2 linked regions of the Drosophila melanogaster genome follow. The protein of the gene in region 1 purifies or fractionates together with the protein of each later gene. This does not show direct contact. Each region holds a gene or a part of one and is shown on either strand. Other genes may lie near its edges. The genes, in order: TfIIFalpha and CG8117.

Region 1 (4,914 bases):
CGTTTGGAGCGACTTCTGGCCAGTTCCTGTATCCAATCCTATTTTTTCAGCACTCGCTCGCCTCCTCACTCGTCGCCATCGCACTGGTATTGCGTTGTACTTTGTTTTGCTCCCTTTTGGGGCTCGGACTCCTCGGGTTCCTTTAGTTGGTGGTCGTGGTTCAGCGGGGACAGCGCAGTGGCTGCGAAAAGAGCATGACAGTCGCGATAAGAACGCTTTGGGTTTGGTTCACTTTTCTAATTATCGGATATTAGAATTTACATCCCACCCGAACACAGACACATATACAGGGCTAGAGCTGGAACTAAATCGATGTATAGCTGCTGCTGGCTTCCTGACGGCGATGTTTTCGTACATCGATTACTCCCATATTTCGATAGCTATCGACTAAAATTTTAAAAATATTAAAATCCAGTATTCTCAGCAACTGTTTCAGATCATTGTACAGAATTTAGAATTCTCAACTTCAGAACCTGAAACCATATAGAAATATAATACTAAGATATAGCATTAATAACTAGTTTTTAAGATTCTAGAAGTACAAATACAATGAATTGGTTAAAATCAGTTTCTGTGCAAAATACTACTTGCCTTTTCGAATTAACCAAGAAAATTAACCGATTTTCAGTGGTGCGTTTATATTTTGTGTTGAACAATAATGCATTTGAGTTATGAAACATTAAAATCACATGACTGCGGGCTACTTGATCCAGAGATACATTTTCCCCTGGATGGTGTGCTTGACGGGATTGATCTTCTTCAGGATTTTCGTCATGGTCTCGACCAAACGGTCGCTGGAGACAGGCGTCTTCTTGTTCTTGAACTTGGTGAGCAACTCGGTGGCGGTCAGGGGCTTTCGCTTAAGATACCGACGCACCGCCTCCTCGGTGATGCCGTAGTCCCTAAACAAAATACATGAAATTAGAATTAGGAATTCCAGTATATCACGGCTTTACTCACTCTACTTTGCCGCCAGAGAAGGAAGTGGGCAGCGATGTGCTAATCTCGTTCTTAGGCCTCTTTGCTGGCGTGCTGGTGGGACTGTTGCTTGTGTCCGAAGCGGTGAGATCGCTGGGTAAGCTGTTCATCTTGCGCTTGCTGGCATCCGTCGAGAGCGTTGGAGTGGCCGAGCGAGATTTATTGGCATTGCTGCTGCTGGCGATGACCTTGCTGCTCGCAGCGCTCTCTTTCTCCTTTTCCTTTTCCTTGTCTTTGTCCTTGACGACGACCTTCTTCTTGGGCGGTCCGTTGCTAAGGTCGTCCTCGGAGTCTGTGCTGTCAGAGCTGAAGTCTGTGGACGAGTCACCGCTGCCATTCGACTTGCCCTTCTTGTCGTCCTTTGTGGGTTTCTTCTTCTTTTTGTCCTTGGATACCTCGTCCTTGCCCTTATCCTTCTTTTTTTTCTCGCCGTCGGCATCCTCCTTGTCCGACTCATCAGACTTCTTCTCATCATCCTCCTCTTCATCGGAGGTAAGCAGCTTGCGGAGCGCATCTTCCTCGGCCACGCCTTTCATGTCCTTGTCCACCTTTGCCTCTGGATCTGGTTCGCTAGAATAGGGTATAAGAAATTAGTAGATGTGGTCCAAATTGTATTGCCATTATCAGAATCGTTTGGGGCACATACTCTTCACTGGAGCTGGTGTCGTAGTCCATTTCTCTGCCCTCCTCGTCACCATCGTCCGACTCCTCGAAGGCCTCGTCATCAACATCCCTCTTTTTCTTTTTCTTGTCTGCGCCCTTCTTGCCCTTTCCCTTGGCCTTGCCATCGTCGCTGTCTTCCTGCTCCTTCTTCTTTTTATCCTCCTCGTCCTCCGAATCCGACTCATCCTCGGAATCAATCCATTCATCCATGTCAGTGATCTTGAGCTCCTTGGATTTTTTGGTGGCTGCCTTAATTAGCTTAGCCTCCTCCGGATCCTGCTCCTCTTCCTCATCGCCGCGCAGACGCTTTCGCAACATAAGGGAGAAGTAGTTCATCACCTTTTTGCGCCGACCAAATTCCTGTTCGGCCTCCTCCGCCGACAGCGATTTGTAGCGCTGAATAGGCTGGAAGTTGTACCACTCGGTCAAGGGGTATGCCTCAATGGCGCCGTCTGGTGCATGGGTGAACACATAGAAAGCTGCATTCTCGCCTACGCCGCCCTCGCGGATGCCTTTGAACTTCTTTCCAGTCTTGCCACCCACTTTAAGGATCCATGGCTGTGCCTCTGGACGGTACTTTCTCGCTATAATGCCAAACTTCTTGCGGCGCGCCTCCTCGCGCTGATCCCGGTTGTACTCCGATCCAGCACCAAACTTGGGCTGATCCTCCTCCATGCCCCGGAACTCCTTCATGTTGTTTTCCCGCTCCAGTTTCACATTTCTCCACTGCGCGAAATCCACATTGAGCGTGGCGTTGAACCGCATCACATGGTGCTTCTTGGGCATCTTGGGCACGCGGATCTTGAACTCCTGCACGTTGGCGGATGACGAGGCGGATCCTGAGGCGACAGAGGCTGCGGCGGCGGCAGCTGCGGACGTGGAGCTCCCGCTGGCAGCGCTCGGCTGCATGAAATCAAGCGAAGACCGCAAATAAGTGTTGGCGCCGGAAGCGGCAGGGTAAAGACTTACCGTCGACTTTGACGCGCTCGACATGGCTTAATGTTTGCTAATCATATGTTGCTTCTATCTGGATATTTTATACTTTTCCCCAAACTCTTACAATTCGCGGCGCGGGCAGAAAAGTTGGATTTTCTAGCGATGTCCGATAACAGAAGTGCAGTTATTCTTTGGAAGCAAGTGTATCGTATCGTTTGGGCAGAAAAATAATATTTATTCCAAGAGATTTTGATAAACAAATTGGAAAAGTAGATATTATAAGATTGCATATTCAAGCCCTACAAGGTATTTAAAAACTTCAAAGTTTTGTAATGTTCTATCAAAATAAAGTGACAGCCGATATCCGTTCACAGTCACGGTTATCGATTACCTCTTTTTAGATAAACGATTGTCGCCATAGCAAATAACGATAAATTCACAAAGCGCTGTCTAGTTTGTTTGGATTTCATTTGCAGTTTGTCGCTTAAATGTTAGGGAAAATGTCGCGGAACGTGACGCTCTCGGATGAACAAAGTCGGCTTAATGCGCGTCTGGAGGCGCACATGGTTTACATATGTCCGGAATGCGGCAAGGCGTTCCGCACTCAGGCGGAGTGGCGACAGCATCTGAACACGGCAAGTTGCGGGTTTTGTGCAAATCAAGTTCTGCTTTAATAATGGTTTGAAATGTGCCCACAGAAACACGACTATCTAAAGAAGACGTACTCAGATTTCAACTTCATCCAGATCGACGAGCGATTCCATGAGTGCCAGCTGTGCTTCAAATGGGTGGAGAATGCCCACAAGACAATCGCCCTCCTGCAGTACCACTACTTTATGCATCTGGAGCACAGTGAAACCTACCGCTGCGTGCACTGCCGCATGGCGTACACGAGGCGCCGGGCTCTGAACGTCCACCTACTGGACACGCACATGCGGGAGATCGAGAAGTACGAGAACAAGCTGCGCCAGATGAAGCGGCAGCAGGCGAAACCCACTACAGCGGCCGCACCAGCTGGAAATGCAGAGAAGCCGATGGCTGTGAAGCCGCGTGGGCGTCCCAAAGGTTCCACGAACAGAAAGCAAAATGATCTGCTGCAAAAGGCGCTGATGGACATTGATCTGAACACAGAAATGGAAAAGTCCCCAGTGACAGCACTAGCGGCTCCTGTAAACGAACCTAAGCCCATTTCAAATGTCAGCGAGCTGAATCTAGATCGGTGTTTGAATGCCTACGAGGACATCGTGCGCAAGGAGGAGAAAGAGGTGGTGCCGAAGTATGACGACGAGTTGGATGCGCTCTGCAAGGAGTTTTTTGATGATGGCCCCTCCGCCGGCAAAGGAGAAGCTAATGAGGAGCAGCAGCAAGACGATGCGCACCTGCAGCAAGGAAATCAGGAGGTGGTCATCATCGAGATCGATGCACTCGGCAAGGAGGAAGTGGCCCAGCTGAAGAAGGAAATGAAGTCGGACCCAATAAGTCAACCGACTAAGCGTCGACGCATCTCTACGACGCCCAGCCGCGACTCAGACACGGAAATGTCCACCAACGGCCTCACGAAGCTCATATCGTACTTGTGTCCGAAGTGCGGCAAGGAAATCGCCTCGATGGACGGTTGGCGGGCACACGTATTCAAGAAGCACGACTTCGAGCACATAATCGAGAACAGTTTTAAGATCCTGGAGTCCGGGCGCAAGGCCATGTGCCTGCAGTGCCGTGAGGTGCAACCAACGACCGTGCGCTCACAACTGCAGAAGCACTGCTTCAAGCATCTGCCCTACCGGTCGTACCTCAAGTGCACACTCTGCGATCGCACCAAGACCAGCACCTCAAAGATCCTCAATCACATTCGCTACAACCACCAGGAGGAGCTGCAGCGTAAAAACAAGACGCAGCTGCTTATTAAGCCGGAGCCCATGTGGGCCAGTCCCAACAAGTCCGGTCAAGCGGCCATGGCGGATGACGCCGGATCCGAGGACGATCAGGGCGAGCAAGCTGTGTGCGAGCACTGTGACAGAGTCTTTAGGAGCAAATGGCGCTACGAACGACACATTGCCTCTTGCAGGAGATCTGGAGCTGGCAAGTCAGTCGAAGGGACCGTTGAAGCCTTGTTGAACCATCTGCGAGAAGGGCACATGCGAATGAACGCCATCTGGAAGACGATGCAACGTGAAAAGCCTTAGGTATAGTCTAGTTAAAGTTAAGTCGGTCCATCGTTTTGCAAATATCATCAAGTGTAAAATATACGTAAGTTTTCAAATCCTTGTGCAAATATTGTGCTAGGAAAAGATCATAATTAACACATACGACTTACATGCCTATGAAACATGTATCAAT
Region 2 (3,101 bases), on another chromosome or scaffold:
ACGCTTTTGCATTTTGTTGTTGCTTTACGACGGCGGATATTAATTAATTGGCCCGTCTCTGGGGAGCAATTCCCATTGTGCCCATCAAGAGTCCACCTATCATCCCAGTTCGCAGTCCAAACCTGAATCCCAAACCCATAATCCCATTCAATGCCGTTAATGTGGGCCATAAAGCAAATGCTTTAACGTCTATAATTTGTCTGCACTTGGAAACGACCCACGCATACTAAACATAGTATACTATACTATATATACCATCTCATCCAATTCAATTCAATCCAATTCAATCCCATCCGATCCCACCCACTCCGAGATCATCGCGCCGAATGATTCATTAAAGTGTAAAGTGCTAACTAATAGTCGAAAAATTCATTAAATTAACGCTCGCGCTATGCTCGTTTTTTATACAAGCAAACTCGTATATTGTTGAATGTTTATGAAACAAAGATTTGCTTTCTTTCGGACTTTCGGTGCTAGTTTATCTGCTTTCGCAGGCGAACAAAGGAGCATCCATCGATGATGGACTCATTGATACCCTCTGGTATTTAAAACGAATGAATAAGATTTTTATGACATGTAATATATTTCCATAATATGTATGTTGTATGTTGTATGTTGTATGTATTCTTGTTAAAGTATTATTTACATATTGTGGAAGCCAACGGAAGATCAGTCTGTTTATTGATATGAGATATTGTGAATTGTGTGAGTTCGTTTGCTTGGTATCCAGCCAAGACGGGTGACTCCTTCAAGGGACTCTCTCCACGGTTGTCTAGCTCTTCCAGCGGTTGCCGCACTCGTCGCATATCACAAAGGTGATAATGGGCTCGTCACCATCACGGATATGCAATTGGCTGCAGTTGCGTTTGTCGCAGCGTTCGCATTTGAACTGATCCGTCTTGGTGCCCTGAACCTTGGCCATCTGTGCCGCATTGATCGAGTCCTGAACGTACTTCTGGCGCATCTGCTTCATATCATCGCTGGCCATCTCCTCGGGCGTCATCTTGGATAACTCTTCGGGCGTTATTTGACCTAATAGGAACTTCTGGCGCAGCTCTGGATTCTTCGGATCGCGCAAGTTGGCCAAACGCGAACGTATGCGATTTTTGTACTTCACCTTGCAGCCGTTCAAGTCGCCGTAAATTGCGTCCTCCAGTTTAGCGGCCATGTCATCCGGATCGCCACATCCTGGTGGCATGTTGCCCGATTTCAATGCGGTTGCCAACATCTCGCGGCACTTGATGCGTATTTCCATGGACATGGCTGCAAAATCGAAAGAAAGTTTAGTGAATTTATTCAACGAAACCGGAAAGCACAATTTTTAGATTGTGAGAAGTTGAGAGGTCACTGAGAGATGTCTAAGCTGACAGGAACGGCAAGGTAAATGAAGGTTTTTACTCGGCAACTTTACAACCCAACTTGATTAAGGTCTAAATATTTCGGATTTATTATGCAATATTTCTACTTAATCATTTCTTAACCGTTGTGATTAGCATGTAATTAGTATGAATTTGAATAGATAAATCTACATATGTATAAATGTTCGATTTGGGAATCCCCTGCGTAATGCATCACTATTCCATAACGCCCGCTGTGGCCCCCAAGAAATGTGCTAAAATTGGACACTGAAAGGAAAACCAAACACAAATGAAAATCAAAATCGAAATGGAAATGATATTTCCCATTTAGTCTATATGTTTGTGTTTGTCGTTCCGCTTTCTTTGTGCGCCGCTGGCTTTTGATTTCGCTAATCGTCTACAACAAACAGCGCGGAGATGATCTAATTATTGACGCACGAATCCCGCAGAAGCACCAAAAACAAAAGGAAAATGAGTAATAAAAAAAAAAAGGAAAATGGGAAATGGAAAATTGAAATATTGAAAAGCCAAACAACAGTGACGAAGGGGGGGGGGGGGGGGTAGCCACAAAAAGTAGGAAAAAAGCCCAAGCGAGCGAAATTGAAAACAAAATCGAAATCATTATCCAAGTCATTAGCTTTTTAGCGAATCGTTCTTTTTATTGTTGCCGGATATAAATCTGCTAATGTACTTAACCACACAAACATCTAAAACACCCACCACCCAGCCACACCCCCGCTTGCCAACGTCCCACTTGGCTTCGCTTTCGTCCCACTGTGCGTGCGCGTTTTTCTAGCGTTTTTAAACGCCTCCGCCGACCTTCAACTGTTAAACTTGACGACCTCAGCGTAACGTAAACAGCCGCCATCGATTCGAAGCTACCCAAATATAAAGATACAAATGTATCTATCTATCAATGGTCTGGGGAATTGGTTCACGGCCGATTACTGACCTTGGCGGCCTTTTGTCTTTCACCTTTCGGCCAACAACGTATTTGGCTTGGTAAACAAGCCCCAGAACAATGGGTAAAACCTTGAACCTTTGTGGCCAATCAATTTCTCCAGATTGGCGAAAATAAAAAGAAAGTGTGTGGCCAACATGAGGGGCAACCAAAGAAAATTTAAGAAAATATCTCAAATATGTTCCTGTTTCAAACTACTGTTCAAAATACATTAGCTTTTGGATAACATTCTTGCAAAATCTTAAATCAAATTGAAGAAAAATCTTAAAAAACACAAATATAAGTAAATAAAGTTTGGACAATGTGGTTTATGTATAATATATTACAAAACATTTGAATGATTACATGAAGATCGATGAGGATTTACTAATAACTCCTGCAGAATCATCAATTATGTGTGAATAAAACTTAAAATGTCCCACTTAAATAGTTAAATTCCAGTACGCAGCAATTTTCCACTAATTTACCTCGATCAATTTGCATTTTCCAAGTTTTCTAAAGTCCAATTGTTGGTTGGTTGGCTGGCTGCCTGGCTGGATGGTTGAATCGATGGCTGGATGAACGTTTCCCATCGCCGGAGTGCAGTTACATTCGCTGCCTATTTGTCTCCCGTCGAAGCCAGCCCACTGCCACGCCCACCCGCCCGCTACGCCCCCGGCGTGGCATTCTTTCACCTTGGCTACGTGATGCCATGGCGTGATCGTGTAACAATGCGAGTGATTAGTACGCGCCGGCGTTCAAAATGCGCAATCCGCCGATGGCAGCGAACTTGCCTTTTTTTT

What was found.
Region 2: the proteins of TfIIFalpha (region 1) and CG8117 purify together in Drosophila melanogaster (affinity purification with mass spectrometry, with the first as the bait; one large-scale study listed by BioGRID). This does not show direct contact.

Annotation. Positions count from the first base shown.
Region 1 is NT_033777.3:6,378,316-6,383,229, reverse strand, and holds TfIIFalpha (transcription factor IIFalpha), read right to left. Parts: upstream 2,764-4,914; 5' UTR 2,635-2,763; coding exon 2,611-2,634; intron 2,545-2,610; coding exon 1,625-2,544; intron 1,549-1,624; coding exon 961-1,548; intron 903-960; coding exon 701-902; 3' UTR 626-700; downstream 1-625. Other genes in the region: CG1024 (uncharacterized protein), read left to right, coding at 3,066-3,212, 3,276-4,760. UniProt on the Drosophila melanogaster protein: TFIIF is a general transcription initiation factor that binds to RNA polymerase II and helps to recruit it to the initiation complex in collaboration with TFIIB. It promotes transcription elongation.
Region 2 is NC_004354.4:15,642,451-15,645,551, reverse strand, and holds CG8117 (uncharacterized protein), read right to left. Parts: upstream 1,331-3,101; 5' UTR 1,262-1,330; coding exon 773-1,261; 3' UTR 561-772; downstream 1-560.